Linked DNA regions of Caenorhabditis elegans. The protein of the gene in region 1 interacts with the protein of each later gene in a biochemical or structural test. Each region holds a gene or a part of one and is shown in the gene's direction. Other genes may lie near its edges.

The links.
Region 2: of the proteins of npr-11 (region 1) and flp-1, one has a biochemical effect on the other in vitro, tested with the Caenorhabditis elegans proteins (one study listed by BioGRID).
Region 3: of the proteins of npr-11 (region 1) and flp-21, one has a biochemical effect on the other in vitro, tested with the Caenorhabditis elegans proteins (2 studies listed by BioGRID, with this or other methods).
Region 4: of the proteins of npr-11 (region 1) and flp-33, one has a biochemical effect on the other in vitro, tested with the Caenorhabditis elegans proteins (one study listed by BioGRID).

What each region holds. Positions count from the first base shown.
Region 1 is NC_003284.9:1,250,824-1,257,992, reverse strand, and holds npr-11 (Putative neuropeptide Y receptor 11), read left to right. Parts: upstream 1-2,345; 5' UTR 2,346-2,377; coding exon 2,378-2,488; intron 2,489-2,602; coding exon 2,603-2,752; intron 2,753-2,807; coding exon 2,808-2,956; intron 2,957-3,007; coding exon 3,008-3,206; intron 3,207-3,609; coding exon 3,610-3,779; intron 3,780-4,427; coding exon 4,428-4,524; intron 4,525-4,573; coding exon 4,574-4,734; intron 4,735-5,823; coding exon 5,824-5,995; 3' UTR 5,996-6,178; downstream 6,179-7,169. UniProt on the Caenorhabditis elegans protein: Could be a receptor for neuropeptide Y and peptide YY.
Region 2 is NC_003282.8:9,141,426-9,146,622, forward strand, and holds flp-1 (SQPNFLRF-amide), read left to right. Parts: upstream 1-3,279; 5' UTR 3,280-3,287; coding exon 3,288-3,341; intron 3,342-3,387; coding exon 3,388-3,487; intron 3,488-3,923; coding exon 3,924-4,010; intron 4,011-4,062; coding exon 4,063-4,182; intron 4,183-4,339; coding exon 4,340-4,436; intron 4,437-4,482; coding exon 4,483-4,552; 3' UTR 4,553-4,697; downstream 4,698-5,197. Other genes in the region: daf-10 (Intraflagellar transport protein 122 homolog), read right to left, coding at 1-134, 437-550, 854-1,088, 1,168-1,333, 1,773-2,064, 2,170-2,389, 2,522-2,642, 2,718-2,833 and 1 more; rpb-12 (DNA-directed RNA polymerases I, II, and III subunit RPABC4), read right to left, coding at 5,049-5,071, 5,121-5,197. UniProt on the Caenorhabditis elegans protein: Together with flp-18, plays a homeostatic role by acting on the GABAergic neural transmission at neuromuscular junctions to prevent overexcitation of the locomotor circuit. DPNFLRF-amide: Inhibits the activity of dissected pharyngeal myogenic muscle system.
Region 3 is NC_003283.11:7,790,808-7,795,167, forward strand, and holds flp-21 (GLGPRPLRF-amide), read left to right. Parts: upstream 1-2,559; 5' UTR 2,560-2,562; coding exon 2,563-2,647; intron 2,648-2,697; coding exon 2,698-2,767; intron 2,768-2,932; coding exon 2,933-2,978; 3' UTR 2,979-3,218; downstream 3,219-4,360. UniProt on the Caenorhabditis elegans protein: FMRFamide-like neuropeptide. Involved in modulating locomotion quiescence during the sleep-like state called lethargus which occurs during molting between larval and adult stages, acting via the G-protein coupled receptor npr-1.
Region 4 is NC_003279.8:12,623,734-12,628,520, reverse strand, and holds flp-33 (FMRF-Like Peptide), read left to right. Parts: upstream 1-3,282; 5' UTR 3,283-3,296; coding exon 3,297-3,451; intron 3,452-3,986; coding exon 3,987-4,092; 3' UTR 4,093-4,287; downstream 4,288-4,787. Other genes in the region: T07D10.3 (C2H2-type domain-containing protein), read left to right, coding at 57-191, 351-554, 616-774, 1,039-1,125, 1,174-1,272, 1,313-1,465, 1,606-1,779; ntr-1 (G-protein coupled receptors family 1 profile domain-containing protein), read right to left, coding at 4,331-4,421.

The sequences.
Region 1 (7,169 bases):
CGGCTTCTGTGGGAGGCAGGCGCGGCTTCAGGGCCTGATGCCTGCCTCATCGCCATAGTTCCGCATTCTGATATGAAACCAGAGGCTTCCACATAGTGCAAAAGGTGATACTTTCGCAGCGGCCGACACATTCCGAGTTCAGTAGCCGTACTATGCAGTAGGCTTGGCTTGCGGCGTGATGGTCGCAGTGAGGCTTCCCCAAATTTGAAAAAAAAAGTATTTTCAGCCACCTTTTCAAAAATTTTGAAACAATTTCCTCTTGTTCAGAAATCATCTGAAAAGTGAAAAATACGGAAGATCTTTGATTTATTGTGAACAAACAGCATTATAGAAAAAGTTCGAGCATTCTCTCGCAGTACTTAGCAGGCTTTCTCATCAAAAACACCAATAGCGTTTTTGTGTGGCTCCGGAAGAAAAGAGCATTCCTGGTTTTAATAAACTTTTCCTGGTTCTGATAAAAACCGAAAACAACGGGATTCTTAAAGGTGGAAAAATAACAGAAATCTGAAAATTTGCTTTTTTTAGATTCAATTTGACATGAAACTACCGAATTTTGTACTGAAAGGTTTTGAAATTTATTCGAAAAACATGAAATGGTGGTGTAAAATTTTGGAAAAAAAAGTTGTATCTTAGCCAAAATTAAAATTTTTTCAATTAAATAAAATCAGAACTTGAATAAGTAAGTTTCATTTAATTATTACCCTTTATGAAAATTTACTATAAAATCCAAAATTTTGATAAAATAATTGTTATTTAGTTTTGCTTAAAATTTTCTCAAAACAAAGTTAAGTTGGATCAAAGTTTTGGAAAAATCCGATTTTGCAGTAGATTAGATTGATTTTTTTTTAACTAAAATCAAAAAATCAAACATTTTCTTGTTTGGTTTTTGATTAAAAATTATAATTTTATCGTTAATTTTCTGTAAACTTTTATACAAAATTAACGATTTAATTGTTCAAAAAAATGGAAAAATTTTTCGATTTTCCGATTTTCCCTTTAAAAAATTGAAGAAAATCGGAATTTTTTACTTCAGATTTTCAAAAAACAAACATTTTAATTTATCGATTTTTCGAAAGTTTCCCTGTAAAAATCAAAAAATCGAAAAAATGTGTCGCAGGGGGTGATAATTTAATGAACCTTATTTCTTCAAGTTGGGACTTTTTTAATTGGCAAAATTGTGAAAAAACGAGATTTTAGCTCAAAAAACCCCTCATTTCTACAATTGTTTTTCGGAAAAAAAAATTTTCGAAAATTTTTGGTCTGAAAAATGGAAAGTCTCAAGGTCTCAGATTTTGGAACTCCACCTTTAAAAACACACAAAGTTCTGTTTTCTGATACCAGTTTTCTTTTGTTGATGTTGTTGTTGTGTTTCACTTCTCCATTTCATATCCGGCCCGTTCCTGCATTTCCGATGTTTATGGATATCCACCACAAGATGGCAGAGAGAAATGTTTAAAAAAACCGACCTGGGTGGCCGAAATAAATGGCGGTTGAAAAGACGAGTTCCGTCAAAACAAAGTCATATAAATTTTTTATTCTTGTGGTGATGCTACTAGTTTGGTTTAATCGTATTTGGTTGTCTCTGGTGAGCTCATTCACCGCTTCTTTTGTTTTTTCAAAATTATTTTTCATGAACTGCTCCCACACATTTATTAATTTTTGCTATTTCCTATAGCTTTTGACTGTTTGCGAGATTCTTTCGAATTTGGTGCAATTCTTAACAGTAAACCAAAAATTATGGTCATTGCAATGGAGATGTGGTCAGTGCAACTGATAAAGTCAATCAAAATTTTTGTCAGTGCAAATGATATAGTGGTCAGTGCAACTGAAAATTTTGTCAGTGCAATTGGCATATATGATAGCCATTGGATAAAGTCATTCGAAGTTTTGGTCAGTGCAACTAAACATCTTGTCAGTGCAAGTTGTGTATTTTTAGGCAGCATAACATAGATGATTGTGGCTGGTAAAATTGAAAAAATATTATTAAAAAAAAAAACTAAGTTATTCCTGAAATTCGGTGCACATATTGCTCCCAAACCCCTGTCTTTCAACGTTATTGTTTTTATAAAGTTTCAATTTAAAAGGGATATGGGAGTAGACACCGGGGCGGGAGAATGAGTTAAATGAGATGATAGTTTTCACTTTTCAATTTTCATTTCTTCTCTATAATTCGCAGTAATTACCTCTCATTTTTTGATATTTTTCTCTTATAACCGACCGACTAACCACTAGTCTGGATGCTCAATTTCTTGGAATATTCGTTTATTTATTTCCCTTCTGTGTGAGAAAATTGGCGTTTCACATATTTTTTTTCTTGCCTTCAATTTCATCTCCCGTATTTTTGTATTTTCGTCGGTATTTTCAGAACTTTCAACAAATGGGATCGGTGAATGAATCATGTGACAATTATGTAGAAATTTTCAACAAAATCAACTACTTTTTTCGAGATGATCAGGTTATCAATGGGACTGAGTATTCACCAAAAGAGGTTGGTATTCAAAAAGACAATTTTTTTAAATTTTGTCAGTGCAAATCAAAACTTTGTCAGTGCAAATTTAAAAATGGTCAGTGCTTACTCAAAACTTAACATTCAAATTTTCAGTTCGGATATTTCATCACATTCGCATACATGCTGATCATTTTGTTTGGAGCAATAGGCAACTTTTTGACAATCATCGTAGTCATACTCAACCCAGCAATGCGGACAACAAGGAACTTTTTCATTTTAAACTTGGCGCTGTCGGACTTTTTTGTGAGTATTTTTTGCTGGAATTATTGAAGATAGGAAACAATTTGAAAAATTCCAGGTTTGTATTGTGACAGCGCCGACCACATTATACACGGTTCTCTACATGTTCTGGCCATTTAGCAGGACATTATGCAAAATTGCGGGTTCGCTGCAAGGCTTTAACATATTTTTATCCACATTCTCGATAGCCTCAATTGCTGTTGATAGGTATGTACATATATTTTTTTTAATTAAAAATGCCATTTAACAAGTTTTCAGATACGTGCTCATTATCTTCCCAACGAAGCGAGAACGACAACAAAATCTGTCGTTCTGCTTTTTTATCATGATCTGGGTGATTTCCCTAATCCTTGCGGTTCCACTTCTGCAGGCTTCTGATTTGACACCGGTTTTCGTTGAGCCATCGTGCGATTTGGCTCTTTACATTTGCCATGAGCAAAATGAGATATGGGAAAAGGTTGGTTCTTAGTGGTCTAAATGAACTATAAACTAAACAATAAGCTTCATGTATCAGCTCCTATTAATGAAATATAAAAACTGTCTATGTACTGTAGTATTACTGTAATAATTAGGTTAATATGGTGTGACGATAGTCAAGGGAACTTGCTTAATACTTTCTATGGAAATTTGCTTTGAGTAATAGAAAATGTGTCATAATTTCCAAATACATAAAAGAGTTGAAAAAAAATTTAAAAAAATTGTTCCGATTTTTTAAAATTTTCAAATAAAATTTCAAATGACTTTTTAAAGTTTTCAGTTTTCTGAAAACATGTTAACTGGTATTATATTAACCAGTATGTATGGAAATATAAAAACAAATATAAAAAAAGACAATTTCGGCTAAACTCCAATTTTTCCAGATGATCATATCAAAAGGCACCTACACGTTGGCAGTTCTTATCACCCAATACGCATTTCCCCTGTTTTCACTAGTCTTCGCCTACTCCCGGATAGCACATCGGATGAAGCTGAGATTTGCAAACCGAAATCAGAATGTGACAACAAATACCAATACGAGTCAGAGGAGACGGTAAGAAATTTTTGAAATGTTTTTGTTTCGAAAAATGTAAAGTTCCACGTTTTAAGTGGCATTCGAAATTTTTGAAACACTGTTCTAACAGAACTTTTCTGAGAAAATCTGACCCACCTGGGCCGAATACCACAATTTAAAAATTGAAACAATTTTCTAAATTTGATGTAATTTTTTTTGAAAATTGGGAAAATCTCTATTTGTGCAAAAAAAATAAATAGCCCAATAAAAATTTTTAGAGCATTTTTTGAAATGTTTTACTATGATATTTGACACCATAGGAGTTGTTTTTATCAATTTACCCATTTGGGCTATTCCACCTTTACTACTGTGAAACTTCGAGAAAAATGTGCTCAAAATTTGTTATTTTATCTGCGGTCATAAAATTTTCAAAAAATGTTAGTAAAAAACTTTAATTTTTTGTAAAAAAATCATGTGAATGAACTTATACTAAACTGATATCTACAACATTTTGAAATTAACCCAATCACCCAATTTCAAGTTATTTTTGAAACTTTCGGATCATTACTTGCCTGGAGAACTAAATTTTGAGCTTATTCAAAAATCAAACAACTTAAAATTTTTCACATAATTTATTGTACAAAATAGATGTTCTTCGAAATAAAATTATTTTAAAAAAAGTTCCAGATCCGTCGTGGAACGTCAACGACGCACCCACCTCCTTCTTGTATGCGTTGTAGCTGTATTCGCCGTCGCCTGGCTGCCACTCAACGTTTTTCATATCGTAGGAGCATTTTCGTTTTATGTTCCACTAAAACCATAACAAATTTCAGTTCAACACATTCGAGCTGGTCAACAGTTTTTCCGTTACAACGTTCAGCATCTGTCACTGCTTGGCAATGTGCTCGGCGTGCTTGAATCCGCTGATCTATGCATTTTTCAATCATAACTTCCGGATCGAATTTATGCATCTTTTCGATAGAGTTGGGTTGAGGTTTGTGAACATTTTAAGTTAATTTTGGTAACACTTATGTGTAAAGTTGGTGGAAAATTTTTGCAATTTTGTCATTTTGCACAAAAACGTCCAGTACCAGGTCCCGTCACGATACATTTTTGTTAAATACAAAAGTATGTGCGCCTTTGAGGAAGGAGTACTGTAATTTTCAAACTTTATTATCGCTAAAATTTCATGAATTTTTCATAGACATACGGTTTTCTCAAATTTTCAATTATTAATTTGATGATTTTTTTTTTCGTAAAATTAGTTGATAAAAACAATGAGTTGTAAACTACAGTACTCTTTAAAGGCTCACCTTCCAATTTTTGAAAAAAAATTGCCGTGTTAAGACCCTGCCGGCAGGTGGTCTAAACACAGTGGGGCTATTACACTGTGGAAAACCTTTCCTCAAGAGTTATATAAATATAATAGGAACTACCAAGGTACTGTAATAGTTTGGTAGAAGAACTGTTGCGGTGTGTGGCCTGGTTTACAGCTTTTGTATCAAAGTCGTGATACACCCAGAAAATAAAAGCGATCTACCAATTAAGCGCCCTAAGTTGACACGCATAATAAAGAGGTCCTTTATTATGGGAACATAAAATTTTGAGAATGCGTATTGCACAACATATTTGACGCGCAAAATATCTCGTAGCGAAAACTACAGTAATTCTTTAAATGACTACTGTAGTGCTTGTGTCGATTTACGGGCTCAATTTTTGAAGTGATTTTCTTTTTGAATAGGGACATCAATATTCCATTTTTTTTCGTTTTTGTTATATTTTCCTCCTTAATTTATATATTATATTGATAAACAAATGATTTTAATTCAATTTGAGAATCAAGCTCCTAAATCGACCTACAGTAGCCATTTAAATAATTACTGTAGTTTTCGCTGCGAGATATTTTGCGCGTCAAATATGTTGTGCAGTACGCATTCTCACAATTTTGTGTTCCCGTAATACCATTGATCTACAAAAATTGCGGAGATTAGGCTCACGGAATAATGAGTAAATTTGAAGAAAATTATAGATGGTTGTACTGTAGAAAAATCTGAAAATTCAAAAAAATATCGCAATATTCCAGATCCCTTCGAGTCGTGATATTTGGAGAGCAAGAGTCGCTCAAGAAAAGTATGCGCACTGAATTCAGAAGCCGTGGAGGCTGTAAGACGGTAACTACTGCAGAGCCAGCAACCTTCCAGAGAATGAATGAAAGTATGATTCTGAGTGCGATGGAGCAAGATGAGCAGCTGTGATTGTTTAAGAAAACATGTAGGGTAACAATAAATCATTCCGTCATTGTTTCAAAACGCTTCTAAAACCTAATTTATTTGATTTTGATGTTCTTTTTTTTTACTTTTTTTTTCGTTTCCGTCAGTATGTTGCTGATTCAGCCTATTATGTTTCACATATGAAGATTTGTAAATGAAGCTTGTCATAAGAGAGATGATTGGTCAAATTTGAGAGAAGTGACCGAAGATTAGGGAGGGGACTGACTGAAATGCGCAGTCATGCGGAAAATTTAGGGTATTTTTGAGTTGAACAACCATATTGTTCGGCAGCTTTTCAAAACAAATGGCGTCATGGATATGGAAGTTTTTGGTTCTTCGTTTCGAGACAGGAAAGTGAATTTTAATGAACTACTCATCGGAAACTGGTCAAAAAAGCTTGTTTTTTTTAAGGGAGGGGGGATTTGATGTAAGAATGATAACAAAAATCTTTTGGGACAAAAGTATATACTCACGTGGAGTCAGAATATCTCATTTCGGTTTGATCTTCAAAAAATGCGGGAGTTGAGACGCAGACATCTCAATTGATTTTGCATGGTTAAAAGTGTGCTGACGTCACAATTTTTGCAAAAATATTCCCGCATTTTTTGTAGATCAACCTGTGATGAGACAGCCTGACGCCACGTGTATACTGTGTACACTAAAAAATGCAAACGCTACGTTTGAGTATTATATGCAAATGTAATTTTTAACATGCTTGCAGGGGGTTTTCAAAAATGAAAATTCTTTATAGCTTTTTTAAAATTGTGTTTTTCTTATAAAAATCCAATTTTTTAGATCGAGTGGGGGCAAACTTTTTGTTCTAAAAAAATATATTTTGAAGATGTTCCAAAAAGGTGGTCACAAGCAATCGACTCCAGCCTCTCCCCGGCTAGGATTTGGTTATAATTCAATTATGACCTCTGAACTCTTTTCTATAGTTGAAGGGGTACTGAGTTGAACGTTAGTGGGGGACAATGCCATGGTACTGTAGTGGTACTGTTCAAGTACTGTAGGACTACTGTAGGGTTACTGTAGTTTGGGAAAATTCGAATTTTTAGCTTTTGAAACGGTACTGGGTTGGGAGTTGGTGGAGGATTAAGACAATGAACTGTAGTGGTACTGTAGGGGAACTGTAGAATTGATGTAGGGTTACTGTATC
Region 2 (5,197 bases), on another chromosome or scaffold:
ATGTCAATACATTTGATAGCCGTCTTTCGGGAATCCAAAAGAATTGGGTAATCATTGTCAATGAATACTTTATATACACCGCCATCTGTGGTTCCTAGTACAAGAGTTTCACGATGAGCAGGACCACCGAGAACCTAAAAGTTTGTTGGTTACAATTAATGATGTAGGATTGACTAAAATAAATATTAAAAATATTTGCAGTTTCAAAAACTTTGAAAGTTATTCTCGCCAGTTAGCTATAGCTAACTGGCGAAAATAACTTATAATACAACCCAATAAAAATCGTATAGATCAGTTACCAAACAAGGTTTGTTTGGTTAAAAAACCACATTTCTAATTATGGCAACTTTTAAATGTATTTTTCAATGTATTTTTTGAATGTTTATAACCCGCAAACTTGTCTTTTAAACTTTAAAAAATAACGAAGGTTACTCACTCTTAAATACCTGACAATTGACTTCATATTCCATGATCTTTTTTTGATTCCTTTAAAATCATAACACTCTAATTTTTCATCATTGCAAACCACCAGATGGCCGTGTGTAACTACCTGAAAAATAGATTGAATATAATACATAATTATTTGCTTGCTAATTATGATTTGCAAATGTTTCAATTTCTATGCTTCTCGAGTCTTACCGAACCTTGATCCACATTTTTCCATATTTGAAACAAACCTATAATTTTTTTTGATCAAAAGATTTTTCAAAGTTCTTCATCAAGTTCTTAACTAGAATGTATCCATTTTAGAGGAAACTTTCAAGAAATCAGATCTAAAATCCCCATGGTAGATATAACACTATTTAAAATCAACTATGAAAACTGAAATCATCAAAGAATTTCCTCAACTCACCATTAATGAAAATGACAAATCCTTCCGAATAGTGTCTTGTAATGTGTACTTGAGCTGCTTTCTCCTTTCATTTTTAGACACACCTCCAGTTTGCTTATATATTTGAATTTTGTCAGAAAGCTGAACAGCCAACTTTGTGTCATAAAGTGACATTTTCTTGACAAGATCATGACAACAAATATTGGAACTTGTACGATACTCCAGATTTTGAACAAATACATCCGTCATTGATTTTCTGGAAAAAAGATCAGGTGATTTTCGTCAATTGCCAAAAAGATGTGAAACCTTTTTCATTTATCAAAAACGAAACTAACCGATTTGCATATCTTGCGTGATCAACGCAATGAACCGTTGAGAATACCAAATTATAGCATGCTATAGTTCCATCAACACATCCCATGGCAACAGTTTGAGAATTTGGACGTACTGTCACTGACCAAATCCAATGATCCATTTGAGCAACTGTTCCGAGAAGTACTCCTATAAATTTATTTTCAACAGTCGATCATTCAATATTGTGGGAATTAATTTTTCAATTCCCTACTACAACTACTTACTAAAGGCAATTATTTCAGGTCACGATTTGACATCTGAAAGAAACCTAGTTTATTTGAAAAAGGGCCTCCAAACTAAGTTCCTGCAAAAAACTTACTTTAGCAGCAGTGGAGTACGTTCACTATTATAGAAAGAGGTTCAGTCAAAAAGAATTTTTAAAAAAGTAAATAAATAAAATTAAAATATGAATTAAAAATTAAAATAAAATTAAAATATGAAAAATGTTTCAGTGCTAAATTTTTTGCAGAGACCTAGTGTGAAGTTCCTCTTTCAAATAACGTAGGTTTCATTAAAAAAAAGTCTAATTGAGATCTGAAATGCTTTCCCTGTAAATTAAAAAATTATTCCCTTTTTCAAAACTGACCTTTCCTTGTGTATATTTTTAGAATCTTATCCGATCCACCAATCAATAAATATTCTCCATTTAAACAATAACTGATACAATGCGGTTCAAATTCCAAATTCTTTGATTCAATAAACGTTCCATCAAGTGAATAAAAAGAAAGTGTCTTATTCCAATCAATTACAGCCATTATTTCATCAATACCCATTGGATTTCCTTGTGAATCTCTTGATGCAAATGTGCGATTTGATGAGAATGCAATACCCCAAATTGGTTCATTATCACGTTGAATTATTATTGACGGTTCCTCGGTCTTTAAATTAATGTATTAACTATTTTAAATATCGTTTTTTAAACTAATATTTGCGGTAAAATATGTACATTTTCTGAAATTGAAATGATATTAATATTTTCTTACCGCATTAGTTCCCTTTCTCAGTGTGATTGTACCATCTCCATGACCTATTGCAAATATGGTACCATCTGTATTCCATGCACAACTACAACATCTCACTACACTTCTTTGTTTTATCACATTTTTATCAGCAGTGGACCATAATCCAAACTCATTCAATGCACAAGTTAATAGAATTTGATTGCATGGATTGAACATCATACATTGGATTACGTCTGTGTGACTGAAATTTATAATTACATTTTTGCAATTTCGTATTACGAATTTTGAATTTTCAACAAAAATTGTAAAACTACAATTTGCTAAAAAAATATGGCAATAGCCAGATTCTCAGTCTGTTCGGAAAAATTCCAACCTGTATCTCAAAGTTCCCTCGTGTTTCTCATTCCACAAAATTACCAATTTATCAGCACCACCTGATGCAAATAGTTCGCCATTATGTGACCATGCGACTGTGTATACTAGATCTTTGTGTCCTGAAATTCAGTTGATTTAGAGTTAGAGAAGGGCTCAATGAATTCTTACTCTAAATAATTTTAAAACGTACTTACCTTTCAAAGTTTGCATTTGACCACCTTCATTAACATCAAACAAGTAAACTTTGTTATCTGCAGCCAACAAAAGTTCAGAGCCATCTGGTTTGAATGCGAGATCATAAATGCAAACTCTGGAAATTAATTTCTATTTCAAATGATACGTTTTAAATTATAATTGAGGTTTTCCGGTTCTTAAAAAATATGTGGTAAAATGATAATCTAGCTATTTAATTGTTCACAATTTTTGAAGGAATTCCTAAAAACCCAAAAAAAAAAACTGTTCCCCATGGAAGCCTAATTTTCTTGAAATCTTTTTCATCGTCATCATCTTCCTGAAATTCCAATCCATAGAATGTGTCCCGTTTTGGATGTATAAAACATAATGGAATTAGTCCTCGTCAAGCACGTCTTACGGACCCCAGATGCAAGAAATACAATATGAATATTAAAATCAAATTAATTATTTGTGGTAAATATCATCATCATCCTACTCATACTCATCATGGGGGGTTCAAGATTGGATACGGTACTTGCAAAGAAGGCTTATAAATAGCTCACATCTTCATTGGTTTTCTTCACTTTATCATGACTCTGCTCTACCAAGTAGGGTTATTACTCCTTGTGGCAGCTACTTATAAGGTTTCTTTCTTGATTTAATAATTTCAAAATTATAATTATTATTCAGGTGTCGGCAGAATGTTGCACACCGGGAGCCACTTCAGACTTTTGTACGGTCTTCTCGATGCTCTCCACCATGGAGCAAAATGAAGTGATGAACTTTATAGGTTTGTTCCTTTTGATTTCATTGAAGGGTTTAGTATACTATTCATTTAAAAAATATTGCCTACAATTGATAAGGTTATTTAGATAATGATTTAAAAAACTTCCAAATACGGGGAAAATCATGGTTATAACATTTAATTAGATTGATTTCAAAATTTAACTTAAGATCAACTGAAAACATATTCTAACTCTATAATTAGGGTCTTTGTTAGAATATTTGGTCGTTAGAAAACCCGCTATGTAATCACAAAAAGGCCTGTCTCGCCTGCCTCATGCCTGCACGGGTGTTCGTTGAACCTTGTGCGTAAATCAAGACTTTGCGCCTAAATGTACAAAATAAGAGATAGGCGGGCAGGCATAAGGCATGCAAGCTCGTCTGAAGCAACGCCTTCCTGCCAAGGTATCTGATGAATTTTCATAATATTTCCTCATTTTCAGGTGAAAACTGCGATGGTGATGCCGAGGTGGCACTGCAAAAGATGGAAAAGAGAAAGCCAAACTTTATGAGATATGGGCGATCAGCAGGTAAGTCTAACCTTTTTCTGATAAAAAAGAGCACAACTTGGTGCTCTTTTAGCTGTAAAGTCGCTGGGAAAGAAAGCCGGTTCAGACCCGAACTTCCTTCGATTCGGACGATCTCAACCAAACTTCTTGCGATTCGGAAAGGCTAGCGGAGACCCGAACTTCCTTCGTTTCGGTGAGTATTTGAATGGATTGGATTTGAAGAACATTTCAGATCTAACGATTCGAACTAAATTTCAGTTTATTTGCAAACAAAGCTTCCTCTCATAAAGATAGTCAGTTAGGGAACAAAATAGAAAATAATCAAGATTCTAAATGATAATCATTTTCAGGTCGAAGTGACCCTAACTTCTTGAGATTTGGAAAAGCCGCTGCTGATCCAAATTTCTTGAGATTCGGAAAACGATCTGCAGATCCTAACTTCTTGAGGTATGTTAAAAACAAAAATTATAATATTATCAAATTATTTCTTCAGATTCGGACGCTCATTCGACAACTTCGATCGTGAATCCCGCAAGCCAAATTTCCTTCGTTTCGGAAAATAAGAAACTAAAACTTCGACCGTCAGCATCAGATCGATCACACTCACACAGCAGCTAATTCAGGAACAATTTCTCTATTTTCTCTATTCTCTTTTCGTCTTTTTATCTTTCAGTGTCATTTGTTTTTGAAAATGAAAGAAATATTTTGAAATTTTAAACAACTCACCCAGCTTCATTGTTTTCGTCTAAAATTTTGTCGACCCATAGTAAATTTGGTCGCATTTTATAAAATAAGTGGAACTAGACAAGAACAAGCAAATGCCTGAGTTGCGTTGAAAAGCATTGGTTGCTATGGAGATTCACAGGCGCACGGGTGCTCTTGTCCTTAATTTGTGTGCTTAGAATGCAGAACACCTGTCATTAAGCAGAACGACGATTTATTGTTAACGGTTAAAATTCGAAAAATTCATCGCTTTTGAAAGTGATGAAATGAGAAAAATACGAAGATCAAGTATGAAATTTAAAATTCAACAAAATGATACAGGTTCAGCCAGGTTCATTAGCGGGCGTCGTACACCATCACTGAAAGTTCAAAAATGAATTTTTGTTTTCTATACAATTTAAAACTTACACTTTCTGCATCTTTTCTTGTATAGAATACGATATCCGCATTCTCTGCAGCGAATGGCGTCTTTCGGTTTGATTTCA
Region 3 (4,360 bases), on another chromosome or scaffold:
TCTTGACGAATTACAAAAAATACACATGCAGGCGTGTAGGCATAAAATAAGCCTTCCCAAACATCAATAAACGTTCTGAACCTGGTCCAAATTTTTGTCCATTTGTTCTAGGACAACTTTTATTATATTTGCGTAAAATTTCTGCGCTATGCCCAGTGTAGCAAAATTTTGGAAACTCGGTTTTCCAATTTAACATTGTAAGCATTTTTTTAAAACAAATTTCGAATTAAATTTTGGCAAACTACACGAGCTGGCTATTTGTATATTGTTAGATCCGAGGGTGGACGGCAAAGGGCGATTTCGGCAAAAATTTTCCGCTGCCTTACTTTTTTTTAGAAATACCGTAACCTTAAGTTTGGCCTATAACTTTCATGGTAGGCAGGTACGCTTTCATGTCTATGTACCTTTCTCTTGTCCGAATGTCTGTGTTTGCCGCAGTAGAATTTTTTTTTGAAAATCATTTTAGGTTCACAAAAAAACCGGAAATATGTAAACGCAGTCACCTATTTCTTGATAGTTACGTCGTAAGAAATTACTCTCGTAAATTGTACGGAACTTTGATCACTCGTCTGTCTTATTACTGTGGAGTCTATGACATTTCTGTCTGAACGCTGTTTCGTAAATAATAAAATGACAAATTAATAGCTTAAGCTCTGATTTTAAGCCAAAGCCTTCTTATCCTGGAATTTTATTCTAATTTTCAGTCTTCGATATCATTCCTCGAAAAATCACAAATACATATGGTGATGTGAATACTCGTCTGTAATTGTTAGGTGGCCACTTCGTAAAATGCTGATATTTCCAAAACCAAAATATAAGAGATCTTGGAGAAAACGCGTCAAAAACCAGCATTTGACGTGTACCTCTACAAATTCTTTCACCTGCCAAATGTTAAATTTGATCTACTGACCCACTAAAACACTACTTTTTTTGTTACCAATGACAATTTTTATGCGACTTTGACATTTGGACAGGGAAAAGTTTTTCCATTCTTTAGTTTGAAACCGAGTCCAAAAATTACAAAATTTTCAAGTTTTTATGCCTCGCTAAACTCTCTAAAGAAGTTTAACTTTGAAAGTCAATGAGCCAACGAAAATTTGTTTCCTCTTCTTCGATGATGACGAAATGTGCCCCGAAGTAACTCGATAATCGTGGAAATCTCTACTTTTTTCGGCTCATAAAGCTTCTTTATTTCTTTTTTTGGTTTTCATCGAAAACTTATCGTATCAAAAACTACCAACTTTTTTGAATATTTGTAAGACTACATTTTCTCATCACTTTTACCCTCCACCTCATCGTTCATCACATTTATCTTACTCCCACTTGCTCTTCACATCACTTTTGTGGGTATATCAATTGGTTGGTGTTTTTTATGTGTTTGTGAATGTTTTGGGGAAGGCTGTGCAAAAATATCAGAAAAAAGAAGAACCTACATGCATTTTGAGGTGGTCTTCATTGTGACTGTTCCTCATTTGGTTGAGATGTCTGCGAATATTAAAAATCTTAAAGACTTTTTTGACCAAAACAATGTGGTATTAAAGGGGAAAAGAAAGAAGAACGTATGTCAACAGTTTTCCTAGTTCAGTCCTAGATTTTTTTTTCAAATCAACTGTCACATTTTTAAAAGGTTAGATGTGTTGTGGAAATCTCTACTTTTCAATTAAAGTTTAATAACTTTTGGCTGTATCAAATACGTGCATTGAAACTCAACTGTTCTCACCTTAAAGTTTTCTGATGCGTTTACAGTCGGGACCAACTACTTACACTGAAACATGTTTATCTTAATTAAGCGGAGCACACTTCCTTTTATTCAAAAAACCTCATAATGCACAAGACGCTGTTTGCTTTCTTTCAAGACCGTAATTAGACAAAGTCATCGAGCAGTAGATTTTTCAAGTCAGCTATTTTCTTTATTCCAAAAACTGCATATTTGTAATACTCATGAATTTTTCATATTTTATGGTTACTCAAAATCTACACGTCTTTATTACAATCTCTCGTTGAATTATCGCGTAAAATTACATCTTCCAAAATAGGACCATTGTTGTTTTCAAGTCATAGCATATTTTAACGCGATTTCCGGCCACCTCAACTATGCTCTGCAACGAGTATGACGTGCCCAATAAATATTGGGCTATCCTGTTTTCCCACCACATACACCCTCCTCATAGTTCCCAGAAAAAACTTTTACCGGAATCACGTATACATATAACATCATCTTACCTGAAAAAACATTTCGATGTATCATTTGCCTAGGTTCTAGGATGGGTGGTTGCTCTTGGAGCAAAGGTCATTTTTGTGAGTAGTCCAGTAGATTTGGAAGGGGATACACTGAAATATTCATTTCTTGTTTCAAAGCTACCGTAGTGATCACTTCCGTCTTACTATTTATCTCAAAACTTCTTTTTTTCCACCCCATCCCATCATGCTTCGCAAGAATCTCATTAACAAATGCAAATTTACAACGATGACTATGTACACTATTTAAGATTTGATTGTGTATTCAACGTTTGATCTCCCACCCTCTCATTGCTCCAAAATCCAAAAAGTCATTTTCAGACGATGCGGCTGTTCATCTTGCTTTCGTGTCTTCTCGCGTGGGTCCTCGCAGCGCCTTATATCGATCAGGAAGATGCGCTCCGCGTTTGTAAGTTTTGTCAAAGTTAAAGATTTAGATTAATCATTAATCTTTTTCAGTGAACGCATATTTGGAGCAATTCGGACCCGGCAGTGACAGAGTTTACTATGTTGCCGAAGACGATCATGGGTAGGTCCAGTTTAATTATTTTCTGATAGACATCTTTATTAAGTCAAGTCTTACTGTAGAATAAGTTGCAAATCGCTATAATTAATAATTTACCGAAATACGAGCATTCAGCTAGAATAAATTAGTTGCGATTCAGAAAAAAGTAAACTAATTTTAAAATTTCAGATCAATGAAACGTGGTCTCGGTCCTCGTCCTCTCCGATTTGGATAAACGGTTGCTGCTCGAACGAACGAACAACATGACACAACATTTTCTCTCTTTCCTCTCAATGTAACTTTATACAAAAATGATGTTCCAGACACTCCACAATTCCAATTCCGAAGAAATATCTATCCTCTCCTTTTCTCTTTGAAAACGCTGCAGAAACAATGTTCTTTTTACTCTCTCTCTCTTTTTCTATCTCACTTCCTCTTTTTCTGTTGAACAAATAAAAACAGCTTTCAGTTTGACATTTGACTTTTTATTAAGTTTATGAGTGCCCTTATATTTAAGAATTTTCCAATTGTGCAATTGTACCCTGCAACTGTAATGGTAGAATCCGGGAAAATCAGTCAGGATTACATTAATGAAACAGTTGGTGTCTTCCCTGCAGGGGTTGAACAAACATTATGGATACTGTTTCAAGGATCGTAGTTGCCGTAATAAATCCATTGAGGCGTCTATCTCTTGAATTTCTAACATAATGTGCCGACTATATAGTAATAAAGCTCCTGAAATTGAGTTTTGGGTGCCAATTTTGTAGTTTTGTGGAAAGTGTAATGATCGTTGAATTTTGGTTTTTGATGATTTTTAAGAACATTTTCCGAGAAATTTCGTATGGCAATTAATACATGGAAAAAATCAGTCCTAGGGATTTTATTCACAATAAAACCGAGAATTCCCTAGAATTGAAGATAAAGTAGTACTTATACATAGTTTCCTACCAAAGCCGAGCCGATTGCAAAAGTTTCGAAAAAATAAAATATCCAATTCGGTTTATGATTACCGCGAAAACAGAAAATAACATATTTTGAGCAAAAATTCTAGTGTTTTTCAACAATACATTTTAACGTTAAATTCTTAGTTTGGTCAATTCAGCATTCGGGGCCACAAACTCCTGCTTCGATCTCTGCACAAATTTCTGTTATCCCTAAAAAATTATCACATTATTTTCAGCCTTATTCATTTTTAGTTAACTCAATATTCGTAAATTACGTAATAGATATTGTCGTTTTAGGATCTCGTTGTACATTAATCTCATCCAAACAAAGAAAATGAGCTTTAAAAGCTCTAAAAACGAGTAAACAAGGTATTCATCAGACAAATGGTTCAAATCGCAATAAGCTTTTTTCTATTTAAAAAAATATAGGTAAAGACCAAAATACAGGACCTTTCAGATTAATTATATTTTTAAGCTTATTTTCAAAATCTAAAACCAAAAATAAATATTTTAAAAATATTGAAATTGAGTGGGCGTGGGAATCTGGAAAGTTAAATATTTAATTCAAAACACAAACGTCTAGAAATATGAGACGAACTACTTGGACTTTGGCCAATATTCAAGAGTTCTTTGGTGTGATTTTTAAACATTATTTATAGAAGAGATTTGTCTA
Region 4 (4,787 bases), on another chromosome or scaffold:
GGATGACTCTAGGGGTATTGTAGACAAACTCCTAACTTTTAAAACGTTTTTTCCAGCGTGAAACTTGCCCGAAATGCCACCAAATACTCAGCTCGGAGCTCTCCCGTCTATGGCACCAATTTGTCCATATGGATGCATATAACGGATTTCTAGATGGAAAATTTCAGATTCAGCTACCAGATTTTGAATTTGTGCGTTCAAATGTTTTTGTTAAACTTATAAAATCTAGTAAAACTAGTGATGTCATTAGGTGGATTCGAACCACGGTGTTGAGATTAATATGCTGTCCAAAATCTCACTGCGCCACTTGGATATTTTGAAAATTTGTTTGCAATTTTCTTGATTTTCAGGTAATTCCCTGTCCATTTTCCACGTGTAGCCTACTATTTTTGGACCTCATTGATGCGAGATTCCATTACCTCCTGGAGCACCAATCCTGCCAACTATTTTGCTGTGGAGTACGGTTTTCAGACTATAAGACTGCTTTGGAGCATTTACAAGGAACTGGATCTGTTGAAACAGAAGCTTGGGATCAGCAGAAACATTTTTTGAAGGTTGGGAAATTTTTATTTAGAAAAAATAAATCAAGGAAAAAATTTTTGCTCCAAATTTCAGCCAGTTTACATCTGCAACTGTTGCAATCGTACTTGGTCGTCACGTAACGAGTACGTGGCACATTTACACGGCCGGGATCATATGTGCCCGGATCCGGTGTGCAAGTACATTTTTGAAACTAATGAGAAGTGTATCCGACACTTTTTTGAGCAGCATTATGTGAGTTTTCATTGGGAATTTGTATTTTAAAATTTGGAAAAGCTGGGAATCTGAAAAATTTAAAGCTTTTTAGCCTGAAAATTTTCTGAAGAAACTTGTTAGGAAATAAGTTTTCGTGAGACCCAAAATTTTCTCAGAATTCTTGTTTGAAAAGTTTCAAACTTCCATAACTCATCTAATTTGTAAGCTTTTTTCTAGTTTTTTTTTGACTCAAAATACTCCAAAAAATTCAATTTATTTTATTTTTAAAAATCAAGTTTTCAGAAACACCTATTCCTAGACTCCAGGCACCTACTTCTCAACTACAAGTACTTTTTGCGCTACCAGGAGAAGCAGGAGGAACGAGCATATGTTGGGCTCTTTTTTCAGAGTTTTTCCTTTATTTTTGTTAAATTTCAGGGCTTATATGTGTGTACCACATGTCAACGCCGATTTCGGGACAACAAGGGGTTTCAGAGCCACGTGGCAAGCCAGAATTGTGAATTTTTTGATAGAAAGGTTGGTTTTTTTCCAATTTTTTCCAATTTTTTTCCTTCAGTTTTTTGTACAAGTGATTGCTTGCAAATGTGGTCACCAATTCAAGTATTGCTATTACCAACGTGACGTGCTTTTACGAAACCTGCCAGTTTTACGTGAAGCCATGGAGCATGTGGAGCGAGAGGCTCCGTTCAATAATATGCCCGAAGATGTGGTGGGTATTTGGGTAGAAAATGGTCTAAAAATTATTAAAATTTTATTAAAGTACCATTTTTGGTTAAAAAAATAAAAAGGGTTCTAGTCCCCACTGAAGCAATTTTTTTGTTTTTTTTTCCTAAATATTCAAAATTTCAGTGCAATATCTACCGATCCATAATTGTGGTGATCATTGATGTGAATCAACGTCTTATCAACGAGAAATTCACAAATTATCAGCGAACAAGCCCACTGAAACATTCCTCGTTTACGCCACGACAGATGGCCAAGCTCTTATTGGAAGTAGTGGACTACTTTTGGAAGATTATGTAGGAAGTTGATAAACTTGCTTGTTTTAATGATATTTATACCTTTTCAACTACATAAAGACCATAACTATACACTTTTAGGGCTTGAACCATATTCAATCCAGTTATCCTAATTTTACTCCGGCCAAGTAAAAGTTCACATTTTAAATTTTCCAGAAAAACTGCCAAAAACCCAACTTGCGTGACAAGCTTCTGCTTAACTTTTTGCACAAAAAACCTATAAGGAACTTTCAGATCGCGTGACACTTGAATCCGGCGGTGTGGCCGGAACATCTAGTTAAATTACCTGAAACTTGCATTAAACTTCTAGGCTCCTGATCGCGTGACAATCAGAGCCGGTCATGTTACCAGAACCGAGTCACTGCACGATATGCCCCATTAATACTAGATCGACGTTACGAATGGCTGGAGGGGTACATAGAACTAAGATTCTTAGCAAAATTACCTGTATATTATAAGAAGACCCGGCGGAACTACAAAAATGTGATCATCAGATTTAATCAGATTTAGTTGTGTGTACTCTCAAACATGCGAAATTAGTTGAAAAGTCCGCCGCATCTGAACTCCCGCCATTCTCGTAGACCACATTTCTATGGACCACACTGGCGTGTTTAGTGTGTCTGCTAAATCAAGCTGGATTGACTCTGAAGTTCCGAGTTCGATCAGACTGGCATGCTCTTTTGCACAAAAATCCATTGCCAAAAGTCTCAATTTTAAGATTTTCAGATCGCGTGACACTCCGATCCGGTAAAGCAACCGGGACTTGGATCTAGCCGAAAGAAGGTCTGGAAGTGCCTGTTCCACCAAAATTAAAGTTACATATTCCGAGAAAAAATCAAATTACACTGGAAAACTTAATGGGTTTCCCATATTGCGTGACACAACGATTGAATGATATCATCTAGGTGTGATACCGGCCGATCCACGTGATTAAGGAATAATGGGTTCTTAGTAAAGTGAACAGATCGCGTGACAGTTTGATCCGGTCCGGTCACCGGAATAGGAATCGAAAATCTGGCCTACACAAATATTGAAATGATATCACTTGGCCATGGTACCGGAACCAAACCAATGTCACAACTGAAATAGACTCCATACGACCTTCCAGAATTACCAAACAGGAACTTCGTCATCATGGCATTGTCATCATCATCCTCCTCCATTATTTGTAGCATTATACTTGCTTCCACCCGAAAACAACTGCCCATCAAAGAGCTCATGAACAATTACCTTCTCTCTCTCTCTTGACTTGTCACCCGTCTTGATTGAGATTTGTTACATTCTTGGAGAAGACGGAGAGGGACCACGCCTTCTAATTGTTTCCTGCGTGTTTGGTTTTGGAGCACATATAGGTAAGCTGAATAGTATAAAAGCTGTGCAGCCAGCAGAAAGTCAATCGAGTTCCGAGCTTTTTGGGGGTTTCGTTGAGCTTTTTAGAGTTCCGAGCCTAGATTAAGTTTCGTTGGGCTTTTTCACTGTTTCACCCAAAAAAAAAATAAAAACTTCCAGGGTCCCCCTACCATGCGTTTTCTTATTCTCATCGTCGCAATTGTGTTGCTGTCAGCCGTGCATGGCTTCTCGGTAGAGCCACGTCTTGCCGCGTTTGCCGATGGTGGAGCCGCAGAGCTGGCACAGGAAGCTCGTCAAGCTCGCAACGCCGAGCTGGAATTTATCAAGTGAGTTGGGAACTAGATCTTGGAGATTTCGATGTATAAATATGACTTGCTGAATGAGTCGCGTTGCCCTAACTATAATGTTTTTTTAAACTTATTTGGCTTAGGCGTAAGCTTAGGCTTAGGCTTATGCTTAGGCTTAGGCTTATGCTTAGGCTTAGGTTTTGGCTTAGGCTTAGATTTAGGCTCAGGCTTAGACCAAGATTTAGGCTTAGGCTTAGGCTCAGGCCCAGGCTTAGACCTAGGATCAAGGGTGTCAATGTCCCGTAAAAATTACAAAAACGGGACATCGGGACGTCCCGTTCCCGTGAAAACACCCAAAAAACGGGACAACGGGGCAAACGGAACACGGGACTTGACACCCTTGCCTAGGATTAGGCTCAGGCTTAGGCTTAGGCTCAGGCTTGGGCCTAAGCTTAGGTTCAGGCTTAGGCCTAGGCTTAGGCTTAGGCTCCTGATCTCTTCACTATCTCTTCGCTCTAGTGAGTAGGCTCCTTTTCAACAGTCCTCGTTCCCTCTCTCAAAGCCTAATTTTCAGACGATTCCTCCCAGCCAAGGAACGTCGTGCCCCGCTGGAAGGCTTCGAGGACATGTCAGGATTCCTGCGCACCATTGACGGAATCCAAAAGCCACGTTTTGGTTAAACCTGATGCTCAGCTCAATCTGAAATTTGAAATTCTCACAATTTGTTCTCTCTCTCTTTCTCTCTCTTCCTCTGTGTCTGTCGTTTTCTCTGTTCCCTTCTTTCCTTCTCTGTCCTCTTCCCTTGACATCGGTGCGGCCCCGACACTCTTCGTATGCAAAATTAAAGCCAAAAATAAACGATGAGCATTGACAAATATGTTTTATTGATATGGGTGAGAAAAATAAATAGTTGATAAATTAATCAGAACGATTGGATTCCGAGTTCACAGCCATCTCCATAGTAAACTCTGTCGGAGCATGATCCTCTTCGGCTCCACCGCCGGGTCGACTGGAATTTCAGCATTTTCTTTTTGCACAACAATTTCCAGAATCAAAGAAAGAACAAAACCACGTGTAAACAAGAAAGGTATAATAAAGTGTATCGGAAGTGCGTATTGACATGTCACCGGGCATCAAAATACAATTGTCGGGGAGACCAGAATAGCTATTGTTTGCGGGAGGAAATTGATGTCGGATGGGGAAGGGGAGATCTAGGTCAAGTTTCGGCTGGAGCCCTGCCAAGTTTTGACCAAAGGGGCTCAGGCTCAGGTACTCTAAGGCGTTTTGACAACATTTTTTTTATTGAAACCTTGAATTTTGGAACGATTTCAAGCCTTTCTAGGCATATTTGAATTAGAATGTAGTACAGTTTCAC